Canis lupus familiaris: one gene and its partners. The protein of the gene in region 1 binds, or shares a complex with, the protein of each later gene. Links are inferred from orthologs where the notes say so. Each region holds a gene or a part of one and is shown on either strand. Other genes may lie near its edges.

What was found.
Region 2: the proteins of BCL2L1 (region 1) and BAD are in contact, whole or in part, in a crystal structure (PDB 2BZW), measured with the Mus musculus proteins. The link is inferred for Canis lupus familiaris from reciprocal best matches to the Homo sapiens genes BCL2L1 and BAD. Residues at the interface, in NP_001276645.1 of Mus musculus: Ala93, Glu96, Phe97, Arg100, Tyr101, Arg103, Ala104, Phe105, Leu108, Gln111, Leu112, Gln121, Ser122, Gln125, Val126, Glu129, Leu130, Arg132, Asp133, Asn136, Trp137, Gly138, Arg139, Val141, Ala142, Phe146, Asp193, Leu194, Tyr195, Gly196; in NP_031548.1 of Mus musculus: Ala137, Leu141, Ala143, Ala144, Gln145, Tyr147, Gly148, Arg149, Leu151, Arg152, Met154, Ser155, Asp156, Glu157, Phe158, Glu159, Phe162, Lys163.
Region 3: the proteins of BCL2L1 (region 1) and TPT1 are in contact, whole or in part, in a crystal structure (PDB 4Z9V), measured with the Homo sapiens proteins. The link is inferred for Canis lupus familiaris from reciprocal best matches to the Homo sapiens genes BCL2L1 and TPT1. Residues at the interface, in NP_001304848.1 of Homo sapiens: Ala93, Glu96, Phe97, Arg100, Tyr101, Ala104, Phe105, Leu108, Gln111, Ser122, Gln125, Val126, Glu129, Leu130, Asp133, Asn136, Gly138, Arg139, Val141, Ala142, Phe146, Leu194, Tyr195, Ala199, Ala200, Ser203; in NP_003286.1 of Homo sapiens: Phe14, Asp16, Ile17, Lys19, Ile20, Arg21, Ile23, Ala24, Asp25, Gly26, Leu27, Cys28, Leu29.

Annotation. Positions count from the first base shown.
Region 1 is NC_049245.1:21,689,920-21,700,440, reverse strand, and holds the start of BCL2L1 (bcl-2-like protein 1), read left to right. Parts: upstream 1-3,558; 5' UTR 3,559-3,962; coding exon 3,963-4,526; intron 4,527-10,521. UniProt on the Homo sapiens protein: Potent inhibitor of cell death. Inhibits activation of caspases. Appears to regulate cell death by blocking the voltage-dependent anion channel (VDAC) by binding to it and preventing the release of the caspase activator, CYC1, from the mitochondrial membrane.
Region 2 is NC_049239.1:53,293,958-53,303,596, reverse strand, and holds the end of BAD (bcl2-associated agonist of cell death), read right to left. Parts: intron 5,576-9,639; coding exon 5,385-5,575; intron 4,836-5,384; coding exon 4,710-4,835; 3' UTR 4,696-4,709; downstream 1-4,695. Other genes in the region: PLCB3 (1-phosphatidylinositol 4,5-bisphosphate phosphodiesterase beta-3), read left to right, coding at 1-135, 601-742, 834-910, 991-1,080, 1,176-1,233, 1,476-1,562, 1,654-1,857. UniProt on the Homo sapiens protein: Promotes cell death. Successfully competes for the binding to Bcl-X(L), Bcl-2 and Bcl-W, thereby affecting the level of heterodimerization of these proteins with BAX. Can reverse the death repressor activity of Bcl-X(L), but not that of Bcl-2.
Region 3 is NC_049243.1:5,675,434-5,685,663, forward strand, and holds TPT1 (translationally-controlled tumor protein), read left to right. Parts: upstream 1-4,259; 5' UTR 4,260-4,408; coding exon 4,409-4,436; intron 4,437-4,702; coding exon 4,703-4,776; intron 4,777-5,345; coding exon 5,346-5,536; intron 5,537-5,953; coding exon 5,954-6,059; intron 6,060-6,817; coding exon 6,818-6,934; intron 6,935-7,710; exon of another isoform or gene 7,711-7,840; intron 7,841-7,909; coding exon 7,910-7,912; 3' UTR 7,913-8,124; downstream 8,125-10,230. UniProt on the Homo sapiens protein: Involved in calcium binding and microtubule stabilization. Acts as a negative regulator of TSC22D1-mediated apoptosis, via interaction with and destabilization of TSC22D1 protein.

The DNA of each region.
Region 1 (10,521 bases):
AATACTGCAATAACTGGGTGGTTATTTGGGAAAAAGTTGTGGATTCCTGCCTTACACCTTAGACCAAAGTGACTTTGATGGCACAAGATTGAAATGTAAAGAATGAAGCCATGTAAAAACTAAAAGAAAACAGAGAATTTGTTTTCTAATATTGAATTGGAGAAGCTTTTCCTAAGAATGACATAGAACCTGGAAGCCACAAAGGAAAAGATGGATAAATTAAAATACATACAAAATAAAAGTTTGTCCATGATAATAAACAATAAACTGGAAAAATATTTACATCTCAGATGTAGGAAAAAAAGGATAAAAATTCTATAAATCAGTGAGAAAAAGCTCAACAGAAGGACCAACTGAAAAAACGGCAAATGAAATGAACAGAGAATTCACTAGAATTCCCCCCCAAAAAGGCTCATAAATATGAAAAATTGCTCAACTTCTCTCAATGAAAAGAAATGAAAAATAAAAGTGCCTCTTGGTTTTTATCTATCTGATTGGCAAAGAAAATAAGGTTTGATAACACTGAAGTTCAAGATGTGAAGAAAGAGAAATTCTCATATTTTATTGATGCGAGGGCAAATTAGTACAACTGCTATGGAGAGTACTTTGCCAATATCCATTAGAACAAAACAAAAACAAGTTCATACCTCATTTACTGGTATTCTACTTCCAGGAATTTTCCTAACATAAACTCCCACATATGCAAAATAACAAATGGACAAGTTATAGCATTATTTATAATAGGAAAGGAATGGAAACTAAGTGTTCAGAAATAGAATACTAGGCGAGTAAATTATGGCATGTCTTTATAAGCTTGTGTTTTAATTTAAAAAACTGAGGCAGGCTGCAAACGTAGAGCTCAGTCATAAGAGCACAATGTAGAAGTGTCTATAGTAAACTATCATTTGTGTAAAAAAAAAAAAAAGTCTGTATGTGTCGGACGCCTGGGTGGCTCAGTGGTTGAGCATCTGCCTTTGGCTCAGGTCATGATCCCAGGATCCTGGGATCGAGTTTCCCATCGGGCTCCCCAGAGGGAGCCTGCTTCTCCCTCTGCCTATGTCTGTGTCTCTCTCTGTGTCTCTCATGAATAAATAAAATCTTTTTTTAAAAAATCTGTACATGTAATTTGCCTGTGAATATAGCGACCACCTCTGAGAGACCTCAGAAGAGAATGATGATCGCTGTGGGGGGAACTGTGGATTGGAAAGCAGGGAGGACTTAACTTTTTCATTCTATGCTCTTTTCATATTTTTAATATCCGGTGTTCCTATATACCTGTTTTTAACCGATCAACGCAAAACACCTCTCAGTGTTTAAAATCAAGTCTAACTCACTTCCATGGTTAACTTTCCAACCTCCTCCCACGCCACATTTCCCCTACCTTCCAGGCAACTTGCTTCTCCTTCAGTTTCTGGAACATGCCAAGATCTTCCTGCCTCAGGACATCCTGCATAAGTTGTTCCTTCTGCCTAGGTTGCTGTTCTCTAGGTTCTTATCATGGGTCAGCAAATTCTTATATTTCAAGTCTTGGGTTTCATGTCCTCTCTTCAAAGAGGCCATCCCTGGCCACCCAGTCTAAAGCAGTACCCTCCCCTCACTTCCTTTACGACAATACCCTGATTTACTTCTTTCATAGCACTAGTCACTATTTGAAATTACCTTGTTTGTGTATTTTCAAAGTTATTTACTGTTTCTTTCTTGCTCAAGGGTTTGTCTCCATGAAAGCAGGGGCCCTGTCTTGTTTCTTCAGAAACCCAAATAATAAACATTTGTTGAATAAATTTATGCAACGTACACTATGGACCACACACTGTGCTGCTACAGATTTTACAAATTACAACTCTTTCAATCCTCGCAATAACTTTAATGAGGGAGATAGGTGGTTTTCTTTGTTGTTGTTGTTGTTTTTTTTTACCTATTTTACAGTTAAGGAAATTGAGTAACATCCACAACTGACAGAGCTGGAATCCCAGGCGCAGGTTCTTAGCTACAACGCGATGCTTTTTAGATATATAAACTCACGGATGAAATTGACTGATTAAACGAACTCCTGGAAATGTGAATATAAACTTTGCCTTTTTTCTTTTTTTGCGTCTCCAGATTCCCCAGATCTGCCGCAAGGGGGCGCCCTCTCCCAGGTCTTGACGCCAGTCCTCAAGGCGCGCACTCCCTTTGCGTCTCGGGCTCGCGCGCGCTGCCGCGGCACCGGAAGTGACTGAGCTTGCAAGTTCCCCCGGTCTCTTCAGGGGAAACTGAGGCCGGCTCGATCGGAAGAGACAGCGCGAGCCGTCAGCCAGGTAGGCCGGCCCGGGTCCGCGGCGCGGAACTTGGCCACGAAGAGCCCTAGCGTCTGGAAACGACCTGGCCGACGAAGGGGGAATGTGGCCCCCCACGGCTCGCGGGGCTCGCAGGTGAGAGCGCCGCCTCCCCTGTGCGTGGCAGGCGCGGCGCCCAATGGGAGCCCTCGCCGTCCCGCTTGTGTGCCGACTGGGCTCGCTGATTGGCTGCGCCGGGGCGGGCCGCCGGGGGCGAGACCCCTCCTCCCTGAAAGGGCTAGGGGGCGCCCCTGAGGGAGAGCAGTTGCCTGGCAACGGGGCGGTGGCCCGGCGGGTACCCGGCCTAGCGCGCGGGAGAAGCCGCCAGGCCGCAGCCCACCGGCCCCGGGCTCCGGAGAGGTGCAGCCCCCGGCCCCCCGGCCCCCGGCCCCCCCGCCCTCCCGGGGGCGCCAGGAAGCTGCCTTGGGCCTGTCCTCAGGAAAACGTGGTCTCAGCTGTAGGGGGGCCGCGAGCAGGCCTCAGTCCCTCTCCCTGACCCGAGGAGAGGCCTGGCGCCTCACCCTCACCCGGTCTTTGTGCAGGGCGCCGGCGGCCATTGTGTCCGTGCGGGGAATGGAGGACCCGGCAATCCCCCCCCACCGCCTCCGCGTCCAGGGCCTTTGGGGAATTCAAGGAAAACCAGCGGTGTTTCTGGGGGGTCCCCGGCCGTCAGCCTCCCGGAAAGGCCCGAGGATGGCCTTTCCGAAGTCAGACCGCAGATCCGAGGCAGCTCCCCCCTCCCTCTGCCCCTTCTCGAAACCTTGAGCCCCATTGAGAAGTCCCTTCAGGGTTTCGGAAGCCTTACCCCGAGCTGGCACTTAAATAGAAACAACAACAACAAAAAACCTACAGCCCACACCAGCCACCTCCGGGAGAGTTCTCCTGGCTCCCAGTAGGAGGCGGAGAGCCAAGGGGCGTGCAAGAGCGAGGGGGCTGGGCTCCCGGGTGGCAGGAGGCCGCTGCCGAGTGGCCGCCCTCGATCCGGGCGATGGAGGAGGAAGCAAGCGAGGGGGCCGGTTCCTGAGCTTCGTAATTCCTGTGTCGCCTTCTGGGCTCTCAGCCTGCCGGGTCGCATGATCCCTCCAGCCGGAGCTCCTTTTTTTGCCAGCCGCCGTGAGGCCGGCTGAGTTGCCGGCATCCCGGCTGCCACCTCTTCTCCCGACCTATGGTACAAAAGATCTTCCGGGGGTTGCACCTGCCTGCGGTTGCCTGAGACGGATTTAAATGTAGGTGGTGCGGAGGTGGGGGTGGGGGCAGACTGTCCGTGGGGGTGACTTTCTGAGGAAGGCGTTTCAGAGAAAAGGGGGTGGTGAGGTACAAAAAAAAAAAAAAAAAAAAGCCGGTGTGGTGATTCAGAAAGAGCCCACGGGTGCTTTCAATTTGACTTCATTGAAGTCTTTTGGACGCTAGACCCAGACCTTCCTAAGAACCACAAAGAAACCAGTTCTGGTACCTGGAAGGGGAATGGAATATTGTAGGTTAAATGGCATGCATATTAATTTTTTTTTTTCCTGAAGCTCTTTCTCTCCCACCAGAACCTTATCTTGGCTTTGGATCTCAGAAGAGAACCACTAAGCAGAGACCAGACTCAGTGAGTGAGCAGGTGTTTTGGACAATGGACTGGTCGAGCCCATCCCTATTATAAAAATGTCTCAGAGCAACCGGGAGCTGGTGGTTGACTTTCTCTCCTACAAGCTTTCCCAGAAAGGATACAGCTGGAGTCAGTTTAGTGATGTGGAAGAGAACAGAACTGAGGCCCCAGAAGGGACTGAATCAGAGATGGAGACCCCCAGTGCCATCAATGGCAACCCATCCTGGCACTTGGCAGACAGCCCTGCGGTGAATGGAGCCACTGGCCACAGCAGCAGCTTGGATGCCCGGGAGGTGATCCCCATGGCAGCGGTGAAACAAGCGCTGAGGGAGGCTGGGGATGAGTTTGAACTGAGGTACCGGCGGGCATTCAGTGACCTGACATCCCAGCTTCACATCACCCCAGGGACAGCATATCAGAGCTTTGAGCAGGTAGTGAATGAACTCTTCCGGGATGGGGTGAACTGGGGTCGCATTGTGGCCTTTTTCTCCTTCGGTGGGGCACTGTGCGTGGAGAGCGTAGACAAGGAGATGCAGGTATTGGTGAGTCGGATCGCAGCTTGGATGGCCACTTACCTGAATGACCACCTAGAGCCTTGGATCCAGGAGAACGGCGGCTGGGTAAGGACCACGCCCCTTGTGTATACTACCTTTCCCTCAGCCTCTGATCGAAGAGATCTCCAATAGCCTTCTCACCCATATCTCTTTCTGTTGTGCTGGGTGGTTATTGGAGACTGCTTGTTAAGGAGAGGTGACCTCCCTGCACCACAAGAGGTTAACTGTTCTCAAACACGGGTAACCTAGTCTTGAAAGGACCAAGCATCTTTCATCCTGGTCACTCTCATGACCCCACTCTTTCATAATTGTGTTCCAGTTTCTCAGCAGAGGAAAACATAGCCTGTGTGTTTATTTGGCCCCAAATCTTTGCGAGTGGGAGGTTATTCTAGTGTTCCCCCACAGCCTGACAAAATGGCTCACCACAAAAAGGGCTGATGAGTGTAATACCTCTGAGCCCCTTCATTCTTACTCCCCCAGGGATGTCAATCTTATCCTGGGCTTCCTTCCCTCCCACAAATTAAGTTCCGTTTATTTCAGAGTTTGCATATACATGTTCCTCTTGTCTCAGACGCATACATATTCGTCTCCTCTCAGAATGGGGCATGGCCAGGCAGAAGTTCCTATAGTGGCTTGGATGGCTGAGGATTGTCAGATTTTAGGGCAGTGGTAAGCTGTGCCAGTGGGCTTGTTGCGTTTGTGCTGCACTCCTCTGTTCATTTGCTCTAAAGTGTGCAAACTTTCTGTATGGTTGGCCTGTTTGTGGAGCTCTTGCTGTGTCACGCAGTAAGCCTGGGGACTTTGCACCTCACTGCCTGGGGTCGGTTGGAGAGCTCTAGCTGTTCTGCCTGTTCTTTCCGGCCAGGGCCCTAGGGCCTCTTCACGAGCACTGTTGGCTGGCAAAGCAAGAACCTGGTCTGTGGGGGCTCTTTGGGATATTGAGATTCAGTGACAGACTTCAGAAACAAACTGACATAGGTTTGAGTTTCAGCCCTGTCACTCACCCAGCTGTGCGACCTTGGACAGGCCACTTTACCTTGAGCCTCTCAGTTTCTTACACTAAAAAAAAATGGGGCAGAGTGTTGTAAATCCTGGAGCTAATGAGAGCAGTGACTGGCACCAGCAAGTTTCTGTAGTAGTTATTGGTTCCAGACACACTTTGTGGGCCTAGGAGTCATGCCCTCATTCCTCTCCTCCCCAATGGAGAATTCTCTTGCCCAACACCAACTTAGGAGCAGATAGTGGTGAGAAGTTCTTTAGGAGTGCTCATTGTAGGCAATTTTTGCCCTACAGTGAACTCAATCCTCATTTCCTTGCTTATCTCCTTGCCTAGGGGAGATGCAGGGCTTGTGGGGGGTATTCGGCCCCCTCAGAACACCCAGAAAATTGAGCAGGCTGTGGAAAATAAGTCATCTATTGAAGGAGCTGAGGTGGAAGGGCCCAAGTACTACAGATTCAGGAATGTCAAGAATGCAAATTATCCATAGGCTGGGCCTAGGGCGTGGCACTTCAGTTTACCTCTGAGCCAGAGACCGCCTAGTTTGCCCTTCCCCCTGTCTTATTTCCCATTTCTTTGCAACTTCATTAACTCTTCCTGCTGCCAGTTCTTGTAAAACACAAAGGGGTCAAGTCAATAGAGGTCAGATGACTGGGGTGGGGTTGGGGGAGGTAAAGGTGGAGAGCTCTAGAGCTAAGGCTGACCAGACTTGAAAGCCATTCTGTAAATGAACTCCCTGGGGGGATAAATGATTAAATAGTTCCTGTTGGTTTGTGTGATGACCTCGCCTGTTCCCTCCTGCTTTGATTCTCTTTGGGGGCAAATATTTGTTCAGCTGATTACAGGAGAGACAGGATTCCAGCACTTCAGACAAAGCCTCTGAGGCATCTCCTAGTAGAGACTTGGGCCTTGTGCCCACCTTGCCTGACTATTGTCTTTGGCCAGGGGTGCTAATACCAGGTGGGTTGTTGCCAGCTATTAACAAGAGGCAGTCTGGGAGAGGTGCCTATTCTATCGACCAGCCTCTGCAGAGGACTACCTGGATCAGAGAATTGCCGGTCACCCAGTACTGTATATACGGAAAGAAGTTTTAGACAGCAGCACAGGGAAAGTTCACTAGATCACCCCTGGATTGAAATTCCATCTTCTGTCTCTGCTCAAGAATTTTCAGAGCCCGTTAGGCAACATACCATATGTACTTCCTCTTGGTGAACAGGGGATGTGTGCAGAAGAGCCAGTTATGTCAGCACCATTTCTGGGCACTCATGCTCCCTGAGGCCAGGAGGTAAAGAACATTTAAGTAGAGATCCTTTGGATGGAAGCTACCCACTCACTTCCCTTTCTCGTACCATCCTGTTTGAGCTGCACAGGCTGGCTACCGCAGTAGCCATCTCAAAACCTTCTTGGAGGCTGTGGTGAATCCATGAGGGTACGACTTACGGGCCATTACCACGCTGGGATGTGCTCTAAATTTAGCATCCCTACAGAAAAGTGGAAGGAAATGAGCCTTTATAAAGTGCATCCTATGTATGAGGCATTGTCTTGAGTCTTTTACTTATGCAGCCAGAACGTGCTGATCATCTATTATGAGGCAGGCACTGTGCTGGATGCTGGCAGTTAGCTGCACATGATACCTTCCCTCATGGAAATGACATGCTATTTCACATATCTCACACAATAACTTTTCAAGGTAGGTAGGTTTATTCCCAGTTTACATGTGAAGCCCCTGATAGCTCAATGACTGGCTCCGGGTATCCTTCAGCCAGTTAAGTGACTGAGTGAGAATTTTCACCTAGGTCAGTCAGCCTGACTCTGAAGTCTTTTCCATCCGTATCAGGTTGTTCTAGGAGTAATAAATTGACCCGGATATCCTGGCACAAAAAGGCAGAAATGCTGTTGGGCCAAACAAAACATGCTTGTGGAGGTGCTCACTCTGGTCTGTGATCCTGACATTATTCAGGTAGCTGCAGGTAGAACGGTGCCTTTGTTGGCAGGAGCATATTCCCAAAGGAATGTGTATAGCCTCAGATTCTGACATTGGTAAAACTCGAGTAGGAATCAGGGTTTTGCCTAGTCAGAGTGGCCTTCTTGTTAATTCTTAATTGTTAAACCCTCTCAGGCTCTGCCAATAGATAAGAATCATGTGCATGTGGAGAGAAGGTGGCCTGCTTCAGATATATCTACTTAATTATGGGTGAGCTCCAAGGACTGGAATTCCACATGTAGCCACACCACTGCCTGCTTGAAGTCACCTGGCAAGATGCTGAACCTGTTTGTCTCTCTTGTCCATCCATCTCTTCTACATGTAAAATAGAATAATGTCAGCCACCTGCCATAGCTTGACTCTAGTAAAGAATCTAGAACAAAAGCCCTTCCTGGGCCATAATTGTAGGGTGGAAGCACCTCGTTTAGTGAGTAGGTCATCTGCCTCAGAAAACTGAACTCTGGCCCCATAGTTTCTCAAGAAACAAAGCCAACTCCTAAGATACTCATCTAGAATGGAACCTGATGTGACCTATATAGGGACAGAGCGTTTTGGGAGCTTTCCAATGGGAATGTGGACAGTTTTAAGGTGAGGACCTAGGTGGGCTAGGCCATTTTGGAATTGCTGTCCCTGGGAAACCCCTTAGCTCGATTGAAAACCATTGTCAAGAGCGATGAACAGTCTGTGGAGAGAGGAAAAATAATTTGGCCTTTCCGAGGCTGCATGGCTCTGTGGTCTTGTAGTTTCTGTAGGTTTCTTGCCTATTCTGGCTTCTTTGGCATGGCTGTATGCTGTCTGAAGCACCTCAGTGACCTTTACAGATCTCAGCAGCTGTTGGCAATTCTGTGGTTTTCTTGGGGAAACCCCATTAGAAACCCCAAACGTGGAAATTTTTAGTAATCTCATTCAGGTCCCAAAGTGAGGTAGAAATGTCTCAGGGACTCCACCTCAAAACACCCAATTCTTCTGGATGTATATTTGAGGTTGCTCTTGAAACTCTGTCACTATCACAGGATTTTCCAGACTTCCTGGGACTAATTTCCCCAGTGGCCCTGTAGAGCCCTTCAACTTCTGGAAGAAAATTACCCAGGTGTTTTTTCAAGGGGTCCCAACAGAACCCAGAAAGTTTTCTTGACTTTTGTGTGGGCAGTCACCAGATTTGTCTGGGCTGCAGGAAGCAGCAGTTGTTAGCTGTCCTTTCCCCAGCAGGTATCTGTCCTGAAGTCATCATTTTCCAACATCCTTAGCCTTCTATCACGGGGCTCACTTTCAGAACCATGATCTTGTCTGGGTTTGGCAGGGATAGATTTAGGGGTAATTCCTAGTGAGCTTCTCTTCAACCGAAGTATAATCTTCTACTACCTCCATTAGCAGGGCCTTGTCCCTACCCCGACCCTAAGTCCACAGAGTTCTCCCTAGGGACTTCCTCTCTTTTCTTTGAAGGAGTCACTCTGCTCCTGGAGCAGCTTCTTTTCTTCCTTCCAGCCGACAGTCTGTCTTCCCCCTTCCCAGTTGACAGACCTGAGTCAGACAGTAGACAGTTCCACTGGGTCATTTTGTTTAACCCAGGGAAGAGAAGACTCCAGAAAATTTATCACCAGTGTCAAATGCCTGGAGGAAGAGGGGTTACACCATTTTTATTGGTAGAGTACCCAACAGAACTTGGATAAATGAAAGGATAATAACTGGTAGCATGAAATTAGTGTAAAGACATTTCTCACACTGTTGTCTCTCTACCACATTTAGGAGTTTCCTGAAGGTGGAGTCCACATCTTGTCCACACTTTTCCTCAGTACTGAGCAGGTCTTGGGCATAGCAGGTACTCAATAGAAAGAGATGGTCCACCAAATCTCTGAAGAAACAAATGGTTACCAAAACAGAATAATAGTCATGGGAATTTTCACTGATCTGATCATTCAGTCATTGATTCAAAGAGTATTTATTGAGCTCCTGTGTCCAGGCTGTCCTAGGTACTAGGGAGACTGTCTTAAATAAAATTAAGTTTCTCTTCTTGTGGAAGCTCACAATCTGGTTGGGGAGAAACAGATAATAAACATTTAATTACATACATATAACATAGCACGTGATAAGCGCTATGAAGAAAATAAAGCAGATCGAGGTATAGGGCATGCCTTGCAAGGGAGGTGGGGCTACAGTTTCAAGAGTGGTTAGGGAAGGGTGCCTGCGTGGCTCAGTCAGTTAAGTGTTCTGCCTTCAGTTCAGGTCATGATCCTAGGCTCCTGGGATTGAGTCCCAAGTCACGATCCCTGCTCAGTGGGGAATCTGCTTCTCCCTTTCCTCTGCCCCTCCCCTCTGCTTGTCCGTGCTTTTACTCTCTCTCAAATAAATAAAATCTTTTTTTTTTTTAATTTTTTTTTTTTTTTAAATTTATGATAGTCACAGAGAGAGAGAGAGAGGCAGAGACACAGGCAGAGGGAGAAGCAGGCTCCATGCACCGGGAGCCTGACGTGGGATTCGATCCCGGGTCTCCAGGATCGCGCCCTGGGCCAAAGGCAGGCGCCAAACCGCTGCGCCACCCAGGGATCCCTCAAATAAATAAAATCTTAAAAAAAAAAAAAGTGGTTAGGGAAGGCATCACCAAAAGGTAGAGTTTGAGCCAAGACCTGAAGAATGTGACTAAAGAAGAAATAGCAAGAGGGAAAGTGGTTGGGATTGAGAGGGAAGAGGTGGCCAAAGGTCACATCGTATAGGGCATTACTAAGGCCATGATGAAGACTTGGCTGTGGTTGAATGAGAGAGAGGCCAGGAGAAAGTTTGGAGCAGGGGTGAAGTGATCTGAATTCTGCCCTTGCAAGAGCAGCAAGCCAGGAACTGGTGACGAGACTGGTGCAACTGGCACATGAAAACAAAGATCCTAGTCTGGATCAGGAGGTGGAGGTGGAAGTAGTGAGAAAGGGACTAGAGAATATAGCCATGTTTGCACATGGTGTATTGATGGAAGCCACATTTTTTTAACCACTTGGAGGTCATGAAATCAAGGCTAAATAAGCTAGATGTCTTTAGGAATAGCTCTCTCCAAATGTGGTGTCCTTAATGGTCCTTCTCCATTTTAGCAATAT
Region 2 (9,639 bases), on another chromosome or scaffold:
GAACCGGCAAGAACGAGAGCTGCGGGAGCTACATAAGAAGCACCAGCGGAAGGCCGTCGCCCTCACCCGCCGGCTGCTTGAGGGCCTGGCTCAGGCCCGGGCGGAGAGCAGGTGCCGGCATCGGCCAGGTGTCCTGTGAGTGTCACACCTGCCTGCAGGTGGGGCAGTGTGCGCTGGTGTGAATATGAGGGTTCGTGCACAGTGAGGGGGTGATCCACCAGGGGACTGGGAGCATGGCGGGATGGCCAAGGGAGCTGCTCCTTGACCCCCAGAGAGTCAAGGTTTGGTGTGAGGAGGATCAAGGAGTCTTCCCACACTGGATCCCATCCTCTCTTCCTGGGAGCCAGGCCTCTTTCAAAGTCCCGCTGAGAGCGTGTATTTCCGGAGAACCTTGCCCATGCAGGCTCCCAGCATTTGCATGGACTTAATGGGCCTCGTTGGCATAAAAGACCCTGCCCACCCCCTGGCATTGCCCCCTACCCCCGCCCCGCCAAGCTGGTATCTACCACTGCCTATTGGGATATGCCCTGTCCATCATTGCCCTCCTGGCCCAGGTCCATGTGATGACCTGAGGATCACCCAGAGGGGTTCTTCCTACAGAGGCGGGGAGAACGAGAAGGAAGAGGGAGAAGAGGTAAAGCGGTATCAGGAGTTCCAGAAGAGACAGGTGCAGAGTCTGTTGGAGCTACGGGAGGCTCAGGTGGACACAGAGGCCGAGCGGAGGCTGGAGCACCTGAGACAGGTGAGGCGGACATGTGGCAGCAAGGGAGAGCCTGCCTCTGGGACAGACCGGGCATCAGCCTGTGTCACCTGCTGGCCACCTGTGTCCACAGGCTCAGCAGCGGCTCAGGGAAGTTGTCCTGGATGCTCACACAACTCAGTTCAAGAAGCTGAAGGAGATAAATGAGAGGTGACTGCCTGGTGCTGGGAGGAGAGGAGAGCCCCCAGATCTGCCACTGACCCTCTCTCTGCCCCTACGGGCTCTTCCAGGGAGAAGAAGGAATTGCAGAAGATTTTAGACAGGAAGCGCCACAACAGTATCTCAGAGGCCAAGACTAGGGAGAAACATAAGAAGGAGGCGTAAGGGCCCTGGGGCCAGGAGCTGCTGGGGGGCCAGGAGCCGCAGGGTGGGGCGGAGGGGGGAGCAGGTACTGAGCCCCCTCTGCTCACTGCAGGGAACTGACAGAGATTAACCGTCGGCACATCACTGAGTCGGTCAACTCCATCCGTCGGGTGAGTGAGGCTCAGATGCCACCCTAGCCCTCGCCCACCCCTCTCTTCCTTCAGTCATTAGAAACTTGTCTCCTCGGTGCCTGGCCTCTTGCTATGTTCCCCTAGAGGGGCTTCTAGACCTTTAGCCATAAGGGTCATTTCAGAACCCTGGCCCCACAGCCCTGGGAGCCTACACCTGCCTGACTTGCTTACGCCCCCTTGGCTGAGCCCAGTCCTCGACCCCGCCCCTGCCCCCCCTGCAGCTGGAGGAGGCCCAGAAGCAGCGGCAGGAACGCCTGGTGGCTGGGCAGCAGCAGGTCCTACAGCAGCTGGCTGAAGAGGAGCCCAAGGTGAGGCCATGGGTGAGGCAGGCAACAGGTGGGCAGGGTGCTGGGTGGCACAGTCTCGCTTGTCCTACTCCTCCTCCTCCTCCTCCCTAAGCTGCTGGCCCAGCTGGCCCAGGAGTGTCAGGAACATCGGGCAAGGCTGCCCCAGGAGATCCGCCAGAGCCTGCTGGGCGAGACACCGGAGGGGCTGGGGGACAGGCACCTGGTGGCCTGTGCCAGCAACGGTCACGCACCTGGGAGCAGCGGGCACCTGTCTGGCGCTGACTCAGAGAGCCAAGAGGAGAATACGAAGCTCTGAACTGGCTGAGCAAGAGGTGGCCACAGGATGGGTGCTGGGAGGGCAGGAAGCTAAGACACTAATGCTTTTTTTTTTTTTTTAACTTTTTATCTTTAGAAATTTTATTTTTTTAAACTGGGGCAAGCACCCCACACTAACTCCCTCCCTTCACCTTCCTGGGGCCAGGAGTCCCCAGGCCCTCCTTCCTGTCTTTGGTCCTGAGGAAGGCACTGGGCCACTGTGGGCCACAAGGCTTTTGCCCCCATGAGACCCCTGCCCCAGAGTGGGAGCTCTCTCCCTCACTTCCCCAGGGAACACTGGCAGAGATTTTGAGCTCTGGGAAGTAGGGTGGGGGTCACATGCTTTCTCTATCCTTTGGAAATTTTTTTTATATGAATAAAAGTGGATTTCAGGGAACCTGTGTGCAGTGTGGTTGGCGGGGGGCAGCAGTTCTGTGGGGGACCTGGACCCGGCTCGCCACCCTCCTGGGGCTTTGGTTTTCTCATCTATAAAATGGGCTGGTGGGCACTGTGGGGTTGAGGTCCTTGAGACCTCCTTGCCTGCATCCTGCAGATCTTCCCAATGACATGCCATCAGAGTCCCTGTGGCCTCCCCTAGGCTTTCCTGCCTTTATGCCCTCCAACCATGGCTCATCCTTCTTGCCACATACCCTGCTTCCATTACTTTTCTCCCTCCTGGGCTCTTCTTGTTCTCCCTTCAGAGGCTCAGGCCTCTGCTTCAGGAAGCCTTCCCTGCCCCCCCTTCCTGTCGCCTGATATGACCCAAGAACCCAACATCTTCCGCTGAGGCTGCCCTGGGCCCCTCACAGGCAGTTGACTCTAATCAGGGATGGACCTGGTCAACTCAGAACCTGCCCAACATCAGGGGACCCGGGCTCTTGGTGATACAATAGGTGGGGAATGGGTGAGAAGGGAAGCTGACAGTCACAGACGCTCACAGGGTCTGGGAGAACCAGAATCCCCCCTCATCCCTATGAGGGAGATGTTATGCCTGTTTTACAGATGAGGAAACTGAGGCCCAGAGCAGAAGTCACGTGTGCGGGGCCACAGCTAAGTCAAGATGTCCTGACCTGGAGGCAGGGCGGGCCTGGACCCTCTATGACAGACTGTCTTCGGCCAGCAAGGGAGCACCTGCTCCATGCTTCTCCCTCCTGCTGCCGGACAGCGAGTGGCAGAGACCCCACAGCGAGGATGCGGACGCGGTGCGGCTAGGTTCTGAGGCAGGGCCAGGCTGGCATTTCTTCAAGGCCTCTCCCAGCTTCCTGGCGCTTCCCAGGCTGACTGCCTCCCTCCTCCAGAGGAAGGCAGCCTCTTATCTGGGCTTATCTCCTGCCAATCGAGTGTTCTTTGTTTTTGTTATAGCCTCAGGCAAACAGGGTGGGGATATGACCGAGAAAGGGCTTCCAGAGCAGGTCCTTCCCAGGGCTGGGGGCCTCTCCTCTTTGCCCTGCTCCCTGGGGGTTAATACCAGTGCCTAGGCCCTGCCTGTTTCTGTGGTCAGGCCTGGTCCTGTCCCCAGAGGGGCCTACTCGATTCCGATTCGATTCCGTGGCCAGGCCCCTTGGCTAAGACCTATATTCCTGGTGTGGCTTACCTCTACCTACAGAAACAGCCCAGATCAGTCCCTGGGTCCTTACAGGCCAGGCTAAACTCCAAACTCCCAGGTATGACATTCTAGCCCCCTCATAATCCTGGCCTCCGCTCCTTCCCCCCTCTCTCCAAGTCCCAGTGTTAACTCACCTCCTCCCTGAAGCCCTCCCTGACTTTCCCTTTCCCCTGCCCGAGGGAGCCGCCCTCTCCCGGTTCTCAGTCCTTGTTACAGCCCTCAGCTGGCGGAAACTCCACTCCGAGGGGCGGGCTCCCCCCCCCCAGGAAGCTCCAGACAGCGGCCAGCGGAGCTGCGTGGAATTCGTCTCTGTACACCCAGTGCAGGGCGCCGGCTGGTCTATAGGGGGCTCCAATAAATGTTTCTGGGATTCAGCTCTGCTCCCAGCTCTGCTCCCAGGTCCTGGTGAAGCTTCTCAGTTCCCTAGTGACCGTCCAGTCCCAGCCCAGGGCCCAGCCTCCCCCCCCCGCCCCGCCCCCTGCAAGTCCTGCCAGCTCCCTGAATAGAGCTGGCCCCAGGCCGGCCACACAGTAGCTGTTTGGAAGGAGTGACCCAAATAGGAACAACTGACCCTCCCTGGGGGGCCGCGGCACGGTTTGCCGAGCGCGGAATTCCGGCCGGCCGGCCTGCAGGTCCCAATTACCACATGAGATAAGGCCCTGGGGCCCCGCGGCCCCGCGCCGCGCCGCTTTCCCTTTCCGGAGGCCGAGCAGCCACTCTGCTCGCCGCCCCGACCCCTCCCCGGGCTCGGTTCCAGGAGAAGCCGCTCAGGAGGAGCCTCGGTTTCCCTCACGTGTAAAGCGAGGACGCTCTCAGGGTTGCGAGGCCCCAGGCGACAGAGAGAGGAGCCTCGGCGGCACAAACGCGGGCTTTATTAGCACATTTCGTAGCGAGTGACAGCCCGCAGCGACGCCGCGGAGGAAAGGGCTCTGGAGAAGTTAGGGTTTTCCTGCCCCGCAACTTGGCGCAGACGCTCGGGGCAGCCCGGGCGGGGGCCGGGGCGGGGGCACGGGGCCACTTCCGGCCGCCAAGGGCGCGTAAACTTCAAAACTTCCGACGGGGCCAAACCCCTCCGTGCTCCTGGTGCACACCGGAAGGGGATCGGCTTTGGGTCAGATCGCCTCCTTCGAGAAGGAAAGAACTGAACCTCTTTCTTACATCAAGCCTGCGGGAAAGACTTCCGCCCACACCCAAGATGGCCGCCGGCGGCGCCGAGAGAAGGGGAGAGTTTCGGGACGCGGGACGGGTCACTGGGACGGGGCGGAGCCTCCTCTCCCCAAGTTCCGATCCCACCAGGACTGGATGACGCGCGTCCAGCTGGGGCTTTGTCGCATCTGCGTCGCTGTCCCCGCGCTCTTCGGGCGAGGAAGTCCCTTCGGGGTGGGAGGAGGAAAGGGTTAAATGAGTTAGCTTGTTCTGGCAGCGCGAGTCGGAGCCCTCCTCCTCCGGGACCCCGCCGCTAAGTGAGACGCCGGCCGGCCGACCTAAAGACCGTAGCTCCCAGCATGCCCTGCACCGAGGGGCCTCCTGTCCACTTGAGGAGCCTCGAAGGATCATTTGGGCCCTTAGGAACGGGACTGATTAGGTCCCAGACACACTGTGCCAGGGGCGCGGGGAGAGAACGCCAGGACCCCGGAAGAGCCCGAGACCCAGCCTCTGGAAGCCGGGACGGCAGTCCAAGAACTGAGGAATTCTGAAGTTGTTGAAGCCAAAGAACCCGGATATCTGAAAGGGACTGCCCGGGAGCACAAATGCCAGCGCGCTCCGCGCCGCGAGGATCTGGGGAACTCGGGACCTTTAACGTTCTGACGCACGGTGTGGACTACAGATACCGGCAGGCCCTGGGACTCAGGGTCAGGGCCGACGGAGAGGAGCGGCCCCGGAACTACAGTTCCCGACATGCTTTGGGGGCCGGCGCTCACCTTGAAGGAGCCCTGGAACTCGTCGCTCATCCTGCGGAGCTCGCGGCCGTAGCGCCGTGCCGCGCAGAGGTTGGGGGGCGCTGAGCTCGAGCGCCCCCGGAAAGGGCTGAGCTCTTCTTCCTCCATTCCTTCATCCTCGTCGGTCCCCGCGGGGAACGAGCTGTGGCGACTCCGGGTCTCAGCCCCAGCGCCTGCACGGGGGACGGGGGCGACATGAGTCTCTACTCCTTTGCGCCCCCAGCCTTGCCAAAGCCTTCCGGGCAGCTCCCTCTCGCTGATGGCTCTGTGTGCACAGTACCTTCAGGGGTACCTGGAGCCCCAGTTCAGTTCCTTCATATGTAAAGCGAGGGAAGCTCCTGGGGCTTTTGTGAAGATTCGAATTAACTTCTCAGTAATCCCACAAATCTTAATTGAGCCCCAACAGTGGGCCAGGCCCTTAGAGTATCAAATGACCTGCCTCTGTGCCTGCCACAAAATAAGGCCATAAGTAGTATAATTATCAGTGCAACACCACAGGGCCCCGGGGCACTCCCTGGATGAGGTCTCTGGCCCCAGGCAGGGCTGAACTCTTAGCTGGGCAAGTGATCTGCGGGGGGCCCATCTATTTCACTGTTGTGGCCTAGGGAGACCTTGGGTCCCTGGAGAACAAGCACCTGTCTGCAGCATGTCTGTACCTCCCAGAACACCCACTTTGGAGATTGAGTCTGGAAGGGTCTATTAATTTTTTTTTCCCTTAATATTTTATTTACTTATTTGACAGAGAACACAAGCAGGGGGAGCAACAGGGAGAGCGAGAAGCAGGCTCCCTGTTAAGCAGAGAACCCAATGTGGCCCTATCCCAGGACCCTGGGAACATGATCAGAGCCAAAGGTGACACTTTAAGTCACCCAGGTGCCCCTGTCTGTTGACTTTTTAAGGTAATGATTATGGAGCACTTACTATGTGCCAGCCCTCGGAATTACCTCATTATGCTCCTAACCATCTTAAGGAGTACTAATATTGCTTCCATTTTATAGACGATAAGACAGAGACTTAGAGAAATGAGACTTGTCCAAGGTCACACAATGTGAAGCTCTCAGGCTGGAACTCCCTAGAAGTTTCTTGGACTCCCGAGTCCAGTAATTAGCCATTGAGCTACCACCCTTCAACTCTGAACCAGTGTGCTCACCTCTGTGTGGGGAGAGACCTATCCCCTACTACCAGTGGCTGTGTAGAGGTCACATGAAGTATGTGAAAGTGCTCTGAGAGTTGAAAGTACATGATAAGTTGTCATTCACAGTCACCTCTCCTGTGTTCTGACCTCTGTACTGTGTGCCATCCTTCCACTCCTGCCAATCCCACCCCCAAATCCAGACCAACAAAGACCTAGAACCACTCCCAGGAGCAAGAACCCAGAGCTACATAACAGCGTGAAACACAGCATGGGCTCAGCAGCTGAGCACCTGCCTTTGGTTCAGGGTGTGATCCCGGAGTCCCAGGATCGAGTCCTACATCAGGTTCCTTGCAGGGAGCCTACTTCTCCCTCTGCCTGTGTCTCTGCCTCTCTCTCTCTGTGTAACGCTCATGAATACAATAAATACAATCTTAAAAAAGACAGACAGACTGACAGCATGGAACAAACACACGGCAACATGCTGGGGGTCCCTGGCAAAGCCCATCTGTCAGGGAAGGCATTTTGGAGGAAGTTGGATTTAGGCCAGGCTCTGAGGCCAGGGGACAAGTGTCTCATTCTCTCCCAAAGGACCTTACACAAAGCCCTACAGGTCACTTTCAGGGGCTAAGAAAGATCCGTGGCTAAGAAAGCTAAAATGTGGGGATCCCTGGGTGGTGCAGCGGTTTGGCGCCTGCCTTTGGCCCAGGGCGCGATCCTGGAGACCCGGGATCGAATCCCACGTCGGGCTCCCGGTGCATGGAGCCTGCTTCTCCCTCTGCCTATGTCTCTGCCTCTCTCTCTCTCTCTCTCTCTCTCCCACCATGTGTGACTATCATAAATAAATAAAAATAAAAAAAAAGAAATAAAAAAAGAAAAAAGAAAGCTAAGATGTGAAGAGAGTACTCGATTCAGAAAGGTCTAGATTAAGAGAGTGGTCAGAGCTCCTGGCTGTTCTGAGCTTCACCCAAGTCCAGGCCTGATGTCAGGAAGGAACACCATACAGCCTTTGAGAAGTGAGGTGGAAGTGGAGAACAGGCAGCTAACTCAGAAATCAGGATTGGGAATACTGCCTGAGAGTCAGGAATAGAAAGACCCCTGATAAGAACAGGCCCATCTACAGAGCACTTTCCAATTCTATGGAGGGTGAGGGTGTGGGCAGACGCAAGGGTCCCACCTCAACCAGATTTCTGTGACCTTGGGCCATTTTCTTCCTCTTTTTTTTTTTTTTTTTTTAGGATTTTAAAAAAATTATTTAAGAGAGAGGGGAGCATGGAGGTGACTGAGAAGAGCAGAGGGAGAGAGGGAAGCAGACTCCCTGCTGAGCAAGGAGCCCGATGTGGGGCTCTATCCCAGGACCCTGGGATCGTGCTCACTTCGGCAGCACATATACTAAAAGCAGGATCCTGGGATCATGACCTGAACTGAAGGTAGACCCTCAACTGACTGAGACCCCCAGGTGCCCCACCTTGGGCCCTCTCCCAACCTTTTGGGGCCTCGGTATCTTCCTCTATGAAATGGGGGCAGTTCCTATCTCCCAGGACATCCAAGAACAGATGAGACAAGGAGAGCACCAGGTTCTGCCGCTTTTACATCCCGAAGCCTCCCAGCTTCCCAGTGAGGTAGCTGCTAAGTTCTCCCTATATTACAGATGAAGAAATGGAGGCACCTAGAGGTTAGGAATTGCCAGAGGTCCTGCAGCTGGCACACCCTCCTGGCCACTTAAGTGCTCGAGGAATGTCAGCTATTCTCCTTTACTAGTTTTTAATAAGGCACACAACCACCACACTTGACAGACACAAGGTCCAAGAGTCAGAAAATGAGTGACTTGCAGGTGGCCACTTGGTCTGGGTACCACCTCCTTGCCTAGGAATCAGAACCAGCAGAAGAATACTTGCCATGTCAAGTTCAAAGTGCTTCACCTGAATCAATTCATTACATCTCCATCACACCCCATGAGAAAGGTTCCTCACTGTCCCCATTTTATAGGAGAAAACTAAGGCACAGAGAGGGTAAGTACCTTCCCCAATGTCACACAGCCAGTAAGTGGCAGAGCTGGGATCCAAACCCAGCCAGGTTGGCTCTAGGGTCTGTGTGCTTAATGCTCATGCCCCAGGTTCCCAACAGCAACACCTTGGACCACCTTGGGGGTGCAGTCTGGGGGAAGGCACCTCTGGGCCTTTGGTGAGTGCCCACTCTATCAGGAGCCTATCAAATGGGGTAGGGTAGGGTATTTTCACCAAAGCCATGGATTTAGCAATGCCAACCGAGCCATCATCAAAATGACAATCATTTGTGTAAACTGAGCTTTTAAAAGTGCCCTACTCTTTGCTGGTCATAGCTTGAAAGAAGCCATAAACAATATATAATTAACTGTGTTGCTATATTCCACTAAAATTTTAAAAATGTTAAAACCATTCTTTTTTTTTTTTTTTTTTTTTTTTTTTTAAGATTTTACTTATTCATGAGAGACCCACAGAGAGAGAGGCAGAGACACAGGCAGAAGGAGAAGCAGGCTCCATGTCTCCATGTGGGGAGCCCGATGCAGGACTTGATCCCGGGTCTCCAGGATCACACCCCGGGCTGATGGCGGCACTAACCACTAAGCCACCGGGGCTGCCCTGTCAAAACCATTCTTAGCTCATGGGCTGAAAAAAAAATAGGGATTTAGCTGTGGCTATGGTTTGCCAACCCCTGCTCTAAACCCAACTGTGTCTGTCCCCTTCCTAAAACCTTCAGTGGCTCCCAATTGCCGAGGAGGTGAAGTCCAAACTCCTTAGTGTGTCTTTCAAGGCCTTTATCTTCTGGTTCTAACTTATACTTTACTTGTCCATCATCAGGAGGGCATAGGTTATTCACGTCTACCTCCACTGAAAGAATGGCAGTCCTCAACTCTGCTCAGCGCCTAGGCCAACTCATAGTAACAATAACAGCAACAATCACAGTAATAGTAAGAAGAGAGATTCCTCTGGACCAGGCACTGTTTCTAAGCATTTTTCCTATTTTTTTTAAACATTTATTTTTTTTAAATTTTTATTTATTTATAGTCACACAGAGAGAGAGAGAGAGAGGCAGAGGCAGAGGGAGAAGCAGGCTCCATGCACC
Region 3 (10,230 bases), on another chromosome or scaffold:
GCTAGACCTAGATATTGCCTGCAACTGGCCTGGAACTCCCAGACAGGCCTTGGTACTGTTGAGCAAGGTCATAGAACATTAACACGAGACTTTGTGACAAAAACATGAGCCTTGTCCAAAGGCCACAGAGTCAAAAAGTAGATGCTGACCAAATCTTGGGGCACCTTAAAAAAAAAAAAAAAAAAAAAAATCATCCACTGACATTGACCAGTTGAAGCTGCCAAGAAATATATTTGAAAAGTTGCCTAAATCAATGGCTTTCAAAACTTTTTGACCTAGATCCACATGAAGAAATATGTCTTATGTTCAGATCCAGTACTCATATACATGTGTAAATCTAAAACCTAAGTTTCATGAAACAATATTCACCTTTACTACACGTGATTCTATCTTCTTCTCATTGTCATTTTTAATTAAGTTGATCACTATTCACCAAGTTGTTTCCCAGTTCTCTGAAAAGCACTGTTATACTAGGTCTTGGATTTATGCTGAATCCTATTAACTGAGATGGGATTTGACTTAATTAAGAGAAATGAAACTTTATTTCATCCATTCATTTATCAACAATTATTGGGTCAAGCCCTGTTCTGACTCCTGAGGTACAGCAATTAACAAAGACCCCTACTCATAGAGTTTATATCATAGGGCTCTGCTGTCCAATAAAAGTTACTAGCCAAGGATATTTAAATTAATTAAATAGAAGTAAATAATTCCATTGCCACACTAGCCACATTTCAGATACTAACTACTTGGGGCCTAGTGGCTACTGTATTAGAGCACATACTGAACATTTCCATTATCAAAGCTCTTTTCAACAGCTCTGCTCTGAAGGAAAGAATTAAGTAAACTACATTTTCTGTAACTTAAGTAAACACAACTTTCAAGCCTTCACTGCAACTAGCTGCATCCATGTAATTGCTCAATATGATTGTAGCCAGGACACAGGGGTGCAAGAGCACCTGCCTCTGAGATTCCCAAACAGACCAAGTTCAACCACTTGCCGCTGACAAAGTCCAAAGGCAGAGAGATGAGTGGTGGTGAAAGAAGAAAGTTTATTTCAGTGAGGCCAACACTGGGAAGACAGAGGAGTAGGGGTTCAAAGACCATCTCCAAAAGGTTGAAAATACTTCCAGGTATGTATAAGGGAAATGTGGGGCAAAGGTGGGTGGGTAAGTGCTGGTGGGCAGTGAAGGAAGGTTTAAATCCATCATAGTCTTAAGAGTCTATCATGGGTGGTGACTTGCTGGCTCAGGGCAGTCCTTATTGCTTCAGGGGGTAGTTCTGATTCTCATCAGGGGATGCTTTGCCTTCAGGCTCTTCCACCTGAGCCAAGGGAAAAGCTGGAAAGAACCCCACTAGAAAGTTTGAGGTCAAAATGGAGGCCAACGAAGTCCTCTTTCAGGACTTCTAGAATTGCTCCTTAGGAGGGAAACACAGTTGGAATATACTTTTGTTGTTCCCCTTTTCTTGCAGCTTGCGAGGTGGATGTGATGGCTGGAGTTCCAGCTCTGTTGCAGGCCATATCGGTGGTGAAGAAAGGAAAATCCTAGGCCTCTGACGCCCATGATGTCACCACACGTGTCTGGACTGCAGATTCCTGAATTTCTTTTATACAAGAGAATCAATAAACCCTTACGTGTTTAAGCCACCGTAAGCAACCCTGAACTGATAAAAGGGTGAACCCTTCTGAGGTACTTTTTTCATGTGAGGACTTGAGTTAAGAGGCCAGAAGACAATGTCTTTGAGACCTCTTTAACTTCAAGAGATCCCAAATCATATTCAGCTGTAAAATTTAGGACAACCTTAGGTTTTGTTAGAAATCACTGAACAAAAAAAAAAAAAAAAAAAAAAAAAAAAAAAGAAATCACTGAACAAATCATTGTAAGAAAATGTTATAAAAAATTTCAGCGGTGTCTGGGTGGCTCAGTTGGTTAAGAACCTGACTATCTCAGCTCAGGTCATAATCTCAGGGTTGAGTTCAAGCCTCTCTTTGGGTTCTACCCTGGGTGGGGAGCCTACTTAAAAAAACATTCAAATGATGCCAAAGTAAAAGCTAATTAGTTAAAGACCAAATCCTGGGATCCCTGGGTGGCGCAGCGGTTTGGCGCCTGCCTTTGGCCCAGAGCGCGATCCTGGAGATCCGGGATCGAATCCCACATCAGGCTCCCGGTGCATGGAGCCTGCCTCTCTCTCTCTCTCGCTCTCTCTGTGACTATCATAAATGAATAAAAAATTTTAAAAAAGACCAAATCCTTCCAATTTTGTTAGTGACTTGTAATTATTTATGAATAATTTTCCCTATTTGTAGTACTTGTGTTCTAAGTAGGCATTTTCAGATTTGGTGCAGATTTTTAATTTTTTTAAAAAACGTTTTATTTATTCGTTTGAAAGAGAAAGTGAGAGCTTGAGCATGGGAGTGAGGCAGAGGGAGAAGCAGATTCCTCACTGAGCCAGGAGCCCAACTCAGGGCTTGATCGCAAGAATATAGACCTCATGCCCTGAGCCACCCAGGTGCCCCGGCACAGATTTTTTTTAAGATTTTATCTACTAATTCATGAGAGACACACAGAGAGAGGCAGAGACACAGGCAGAGGGAGAAGCAGGCTCCCTGCGGGGACCCCGACCTGAGCCAAAGGCAGATGCTCAGATGGGGTGTTCGGTGCAGCTCCAGGTCACATCTTTTTGGGGAGGGCACATTTTGACTCCTCCTTCATCTCAATTCACTGTTCTGGGTTCTGCTCTTTTCGAGTTGCTCTCTGTGCAGAATGCTTCATTACTGGATTTACGGGGGGGGGGGGGGAGGGGAGTTGATATAGAATTGCCTGATTTCTTTGATGTACCAGAACAAAAGTTTCTGTGAGGGGGACGCCTGGGGCGCTCAGGGGCTTACTGGATTTACGGGGGGGGGGGGGGGAGGGGAGTTGATATAGAATTGCCTGATTTCTTTGATGTACCAGAACAAAAGTTTCTGTGAGGGGGACGCCTGGGGCGCTCAGGGGCTGAGCGTCTGCTTTAGGCATGACTCCGGGGTCCCGGGATGGAGTCCCGCATCGGGCTCCCTGCATGGAGCCTGCTTGTCCCTGTGTCTCTGCCTCTCTCTGGGTCTCTCATGAATAAATAAATAAAATCTTTAAAAAAATAGATAGATAAATAGATAGATAGATAGATAGATAGATAGATAGATGATAGAGTGGAAAAGTGGACATTTGGGTGGCTCCATGGTTGAGCGTCTGCCTTCGGCCCAGTGTGTGACCCCGGGGTCCCAGGATCAAGTCCCATGTCGGGCTCCCCGCATGGAGCCTGCTTCTCCCTCTGCCTGTGCCTCTCCCTCTCTCTCTCATGAATAAATACAATCTTGAAAAAAAAGAAAAAAAATTTGTGTGAAAAATTGTGTAAAAAATCTGGTTTTAACTTGCTCACGATTGGGAGCTCCGTACAAAACCCGGTGCCACGGACCTTGCAGGGCATAAAAGTATCTGTAGAATTTAACGAGCTCTCCGGTTTCCCACCAAAACGGAAACAAAACGGCTTCCTTGAGCGTTTGCTCCGAACCGGACACCTGGACGTGAAGTCCCCCCAGTTCCGTCCGACTCTGTGGCAGCTGGGCTATCCCTTCGAGGTCATCTTCGAGGTCATCGTCGACGGACGCTAGAGCTCTTTTTTTTTTCTTTCTTCGCTCGGAGGACAGGGTCCAAGGCCAAGCGCAAAAAGGGACGGGCAGGCTCCGCAGCGGCGTCCCCGACGGGCCGCGGCCTCCTCACGCGGAAGCCCGCCGGGAGCCCCTCCCCCTCCCCGCCGGCGGGGCCACCGCAGCCGCACGGGGCGCCCCGAAACCGCGGCCGGGCAGGGAGCCTCCCCCCGCCGAGGGCCTGGAGCGAGGCCGACTGCCCCGCGCCCCACCCCCTCCCCGCGGACGGCCTCGCTCCACCCTCTCCCCGGGCCCCGACCTTCCGTAAACGCCAAGTCCTCCACGGCGGCTCGCTTGTGTTCCCGGGAACGGGCGGGCGCGGAGGCCTGAAGGGCCGCCATCCTCCTCGAAGCCGCAGCAGGCTCGGCACCTCCGCGGGGCGGGGAGGCCGGGACGCGGGAAGCCGCGGGAAGCCGCGGGAAGCCGCGGGCGCGGCGGAGGGCGCCATTGTGTCCCCGCGGCCAAGTCCCCGGATGCTCGCCGCGGCCCCGCCCCCCGCGCGGCCGTGCGTGCCACGTCACCGCGCGCGGCGCTTCCGGAGGCGCCGCGGGCGATGACGTAGGGGGACGTGCCCTCTATATGAGGTTGGGGAGCGGCTGAGTCGGCCTTTTCCGCCCGCTCCCCCCTCCCCCCGAGTGCCGCTCCGGCTGCCGCGCGCTCGCCCCGAGCTCCCGGCTCCTGCCAAGCCCGCGCCGCCGCCGCCCGTCTCCAGCCGTCGTCATGATCATCTACCGGGACCTCATCAGCCGTGAGTCGTGGCTGCACCCGCCGTGCCGCCGCGCGCAGGGGCCCGGGGGAGGCCGCGCGGGGGGCGGGAGCGGGGAGGCCGCGCGGGCCTGGAGGACGCCGGCCCCTCTCCGGGGCGAGGAGGGGTCGGGCCCGGGTGGGGGCCGGGGGCTCGGGCGCGCGGGAGCGGCGGGCGCGGCGGGAGCAGCCGGGCCCGCGCGGGCGATGGCGGCGCGGGTCCCCGAGCCCCGGGCGCGCGGTGACGGGCGGGCCTGTGTCCCCGAGCAGATGACGAGATGTTCTCCGACATCTACAAGATCCGGGAGATCGCGGACGGGCTGTGCCTGGAGGTGGAGGGGAAGGTGAGTCGGGCGGCGGAGGCGGCGGCGGCGGCGGCGGCGAGGCCGGGCGGGCTCGGGTTTCCGCCGCTCGCTCCCCCGCCCGCGGTTGTGCAATCCTCTCCGCTGCCTCCTGGCGGAGGGGACGCTCTCTTCCGGGCTCTCGGGTTTTTCTAGAAAAGTGGAGGCGGAGCTGAGCCTGGAAATAGGTCCCCGCCGCCTGGCGCCCATCCTCCTCCCGGGCGGCCGGCCTTGCCGCGCACCCTCCACCGGGGTGTGAAGGGCCCTGCCGCCCTTCTGGCCCAACAAAGAATCCTTGTTGAGTCTCGGTGTTGGAGGAATTTCGAGGGGCGTGAGCGTTTTATTTTATTTTATTTTTCTCTTTCTCTACGACGCCGTCTTCGTGGGTTTTAGCAAGAGTCCGAAGTGTTGGGTGGGAGGAGGATTGTGTGAACTGCTGACCTAGAAGATCTAGTGGGGAATGCCTTTATGCAAAGGTCCAAAACGTCTGAAACCGGACTTTTTTTTTTCTTTTCTCCTCCTCCTCTCCTTAATGTTTTTTTTCTTTTCTCCTCCTCCTCTCCTTAATGTAGATGGTCAGTAGGACAGAGGGTAACATTGACGACTCGCTCATTGGTGGAAATGCCTCCGCGGAAGGCCCGGAGGGCGAAGGTACCGAAAGCACAGTAATCACCGGTGTTGATATTGTCATGAACCATCACTTGCAGGAAACCAGCTTCACAAAAGAAGCCTACAAGAAGTACATCAAAGATTACATGAAATCGTAAGTGGTCCTGGCGCAGCCCACCCTAAGGTCAGCCCTGCGGGATTTGGGGATAAGGTAACCTGGAGGTTCTTTAGCAGCAGGCATGCTTGGGAAAGGCTTTCTTGTTGATGAGCTCACAGACTGATGCCTTCCTATAAATAAACTAATGTGAGCATACCGCAGCTGGAAGTGTGGTTTTAGCTCTTCAGAAGTACTTTGGGAATAACTTGAAACCCTAAATTGTCAAGACTTGAAACTTTCATTCCTGTGAGCTAGTAGTTTCTTGATTGTGCCATGTGAATTTTTGCCCGGTGACAGCCAGCTGCCCTTTTCAGCGCTTGTTTGTTTGTTTTTTTTTTTTTTTTTTTTTTTACTGAAAAAATTTGTTTTGCTGAGAACTGAGTACTTTAACCTGTCAATAAAATACTGTTTTAGAATCAAAGGCAAACTTGAAGAACAGAGGCCAGAAAGAGTAAAGCCCTTTATGACAGGGGCTGCAGAACAAATCAAGCACATCCTTGCTAATTTCAAAAACTACCAGGTAAATACTATAAATGTTTCTCAGAATTGTGCAATTGTAACTGCCAGAGCAACAAATGACTTGATAAGTCGCTGATGTAACGGGATTATTTTCTGGGTCTTCTGAGCAGTTTAAATACTTCATAGATTCCTTTCCAGTAGTCTTCACTGTGGAAAGTGGCCTTTCCTGCTCCCAAGTGTGTTTCTAGATCTTGCCTGCTGATTGTAGAACCTCATCCCTACTACTCTCCAGATGACAGGTTTCATTTCTCCCGGTCTAGAATTGCTTGGTAACCTCCTGTCTTTTTATTTACAACTCCAGTCTCATTGCCCCTGGAGTTCTTTCTACACTTCTGTTGGGAAACTCAGTGACTCTCCCTTGGCGCTTTATAGAACTTAAAGAAAAAAACTCCTTACAGCCTGGCTCTTTGACTTTCCAGCTTTCACAAGTCCTCTGGCCAGAAGATAACTTTCCTCCTATAACCTGCTCTCTCGCTGTTTGATGACATAAACAGGCTTTTTAACAGAGTTGGAATTGTATATGTGGGGTTGAGAGAGTGTTTCCAGAAAGCCTGAAGTGTTCTGGATTGCTCTGTACTCTGGTCAATTGTTAGTGTTCTCATTTGGTGAACAGAGGTTTGAGTAGTAGTTTTTTTTTCCTTTTTTTTCTTGTGAAAATCTCTTAAATTGTGTTTTGAATCCTTTGTTTTACTGTAGATTGTTTTGATACGATCTGTATATAATGGCCTAATTCTGGGTGTTTGTTGTTTGCTCCCTAAGTTCTTTATTGGTGAAAACATGAATCCAGATGGCATGGTTGCACTCCTGGACTACCGTGAGGACGGTGTGACCCCTTATATGATTTTCTTTAAGGATGGTTTAGAAATGGAAAAATGTGTAAGTATAAGGAAGTGGGTTGAAATCAGTAATGTAAAAGTGGAGACATCTTCTGTGTGACTGTCTCTTGCTGTTGGGTAGTTAGAATGGGTTTTACAGCAGTCTCCACAATGTAGGTCCAACTCTGGTTTCTCTTTGGGAGTCTAAAAGGGTTGTGTTTTGCATACAAGATTTTTACGGCACAGAAAAGGCATTTAGAAATACAGAAAGCTTTTCATGTAGATGGCTTAAATCCCAGCTTATGTACTAAACTGGAGATAAACTGCATTCTGTTTTTTTTTCCCCCCATAGAAAGTCTTTCTCTTCGTATTTTGCCACGCATACGTGCGTGAGTGGCATGTATGGCGCTAGGCCTTTTTCACTTTGGTTTACTGATGATTGGCAACTGGTCACTGGAAGCCTTGATGTTACTAACTTTTAGTAAATAAAGTTAGAGCTGGCTGCTTATCCAGTATGCAGAATCCTTTAGTACAATTAAATGAATGTCTACTATGCAAGGAATTATTGGAGGCCGTACAGAAATGAGAGCATTCATTATTCTAGCTTTCAGAGGCTTCCATATAAATTAGGAACAAGATAAACTTGAGGCTACCCTAAATAAGAGAAGAGGCCTCAGCGGACAAAAATGTCTTCAGATTGCATGAGCTGCTACGGAAAGTATTCCAGGAATATCTGCGGGTTTTGTTGGTAGAACAAAAAGTATGTGTGTGAGTGGGACTTGCTTCAGAATGAGATTTTTTAGAAAATGTGCCACCCCTGCTTTGGTGAGGATAGTCCTGCATCCACTGATAGACCTTGAACAATTGGCTGTTGTTCTTTTGGTTTGCACTAGGATGCAAGAGAAAAAAATCCCTGCGCTTTCTGTCTGTCCCTGTGGCAGCCCAGATTGAATAGGGGAGTACATCGGTGGCGTGGAAGGGTTAACTGTTTTCATACTGGATCAAAGTGGATTAATACCCTGTCTTGTTTCTACAGTAACGAACTTGGCTGTTAACTTTGGATGTATCACCTGTTGTCCTAACTGGCTGCTGCTCTTCATCCACACAACACCAGGACTTAGACAAATGGGACTGATGTCATCTTGAGCTCTTTATTTTGACCTTGATTTATTTGGAGCGGAGGCATTGTTTTTAAGAAAAAAACATGTCATGTAGGTTGTCTAAAAATAAAATGCATTTAAACTCATTTGAGAGAATGCCTCTTAGTTTAACACATTTTTAAATCCATTCTGTGTAGTGTCCTGAAGAAGCTAGAGCCTGGTTGTAGACTACTGCTAGAAAGCATAAGACTGCCTGCAGATAACTTCTACAGTGAAAGCTACTTCTGGGACTGGAATATAAAAAACAAGAACCAAAAGTCTTAATTCTGAGTTCAAGTAAAGGGAAAGACCATGCTCATAGCTGGGCCAACATTTGAAGTGGATTCCTTACACATTTCATCACCTACAAACGGAAGTAGTTAACTCTGGAAGAGATTGCCAAAAGAATAAAAAGAGACTAATAACAGTTGGAAGCAAAGTATTGTCTGATCTTATTTATCTTAAGTAGAGCCAAGTTCTAGAGAAATCTAGACATCTCCTGGAATGCTTGTGTCAAACTATCTGGAATGGGGCTGGCAAACTGGCTTGTCCCGCCACTTGTTGGGTGACTTTTAAGGTGTTTATATTTTTTAAATGGAAAAAAATAGCTGGTGGGATATGAAAAGTACGAAGACTTAAAATTTGTATCTGGTTTTTTTTTGAACATTGCCATGCTCCTAAGAGCAGGGTAGGACAGACCTTAAGGCCTACATAGTCTAAAACAACCATGTGACTCCTTAGAAGGTTTGTCAGCCGTGCTTTAAAAGATGAAGTTGTAGATGGAATGTGGGATAGCTGGTTGTGTCCTGTTGTATCTGAAAGGGCTATGGGTGTCTGAAGGAGAATAAGGAAAATGCATCCATGTGACAGACCTAGAGCAGTTTCTATCTGCCTCTAAGGTTTCTGCTAGAGATGCAAGAAAAAGGTATCCTCGCGCTTTCTAGCTGCCTGACGGTGGCAGTTGAGATTGAATGGGGGAGTACAGGGAAAAAAACTGCAGCTCAGGAGTGACTTGGTTAACAATGAAGATCTTGTTTACTAAAAGGATCTAAAATTGGAGTTTACAAGAAGTGTTGGAAGATGGCTTCCCAGATCCTTGCCTTTTAATTCCATTCTTAAGAGCTTAAGGGTTAAAACTAAATTGAAGGCAAGCCAGTGACTCATCTCCTAAGACATGTGAACTTGGGCAAATCCAGTGATTTAGCTGTCTGGAATTTGCCCTAGAGGTTTGGGAGTCCATCATGTGGGTCACAGCCTGAGACACTAAGGTTGATGGTGCCCCCTGGTGATTAGTGGAAGCAAACTCAAATACTGGAAACTAGTCAAGTAGGTGGCAATTTTAAGCATTCTGACCTGACCTTAAAATACAGAAAAAGTGCCAGTTGCTGACCCAGGAGACCAGTCAGCCCTCTCTGAAATGGGAGAATTTTTGGGCCGCGGTCAGTGTTGTGATCCTGAACACCTGATTACAGGAGAGGTCTGACCGGAGTAGAGAGTTAGCTATGGAAAGGGACAGGAGTAGTGGGGCAGAGGCTCTGTAGGAAGTGAAGGATCCAAGTCTACCCAGCCATATTTTCAGTCGTTACAGGTAAGAGTCTGGTTAAGCTGCTTTGAGCAAGAGTTAACAGGAGATGTGTACACATCACAAGGCCTGTCCTTTAGGTCTATTGGTTCTAAGATTGATATTTAGTGTCTTTCAAGCCCTAGGCTTTGTTAGGTGTGTGGAGAGGAATTGTAAAGGGACTTTAATAGTCTGGGAAGGCCTTTGTGATAGGATTTGAATAGGAGCTTGAAAGCAAGTAAGGCTATGTGGCTATTTGAGGGCAGAACGTTCCAAGCAAAGAATAGCAAATGCAGAATCTGAAGTGGAGTGTGCGCTTGACCTGTTCTAGGGAGAAGGTGGCCAGTTTGCTGGACCCACGATGGCGAGAGAAAGTAAGAAGTGAGTATCCAGGGAAAGAGGAAACCAAGTCCCGTAGGAAGGCCACAGGGGCAGAAGGGACATCTGACCTGATGAATTAGATAAGCAGTTGAGTATTTCACTTGGGAGGATAGCGGAGAAATCTAAAGATTTAAAGAGCTACTGGAAAAATCTCAATGTAAGATAACTTGAAGCCAAAACCCTGGGTGAGATCTAGGAAGCACAGACTCCTCCCGCTGACAGAGCTGGAGATTGGTCACCATGATGACCAACTGGCAAAGTGACCCCGAGAACGTG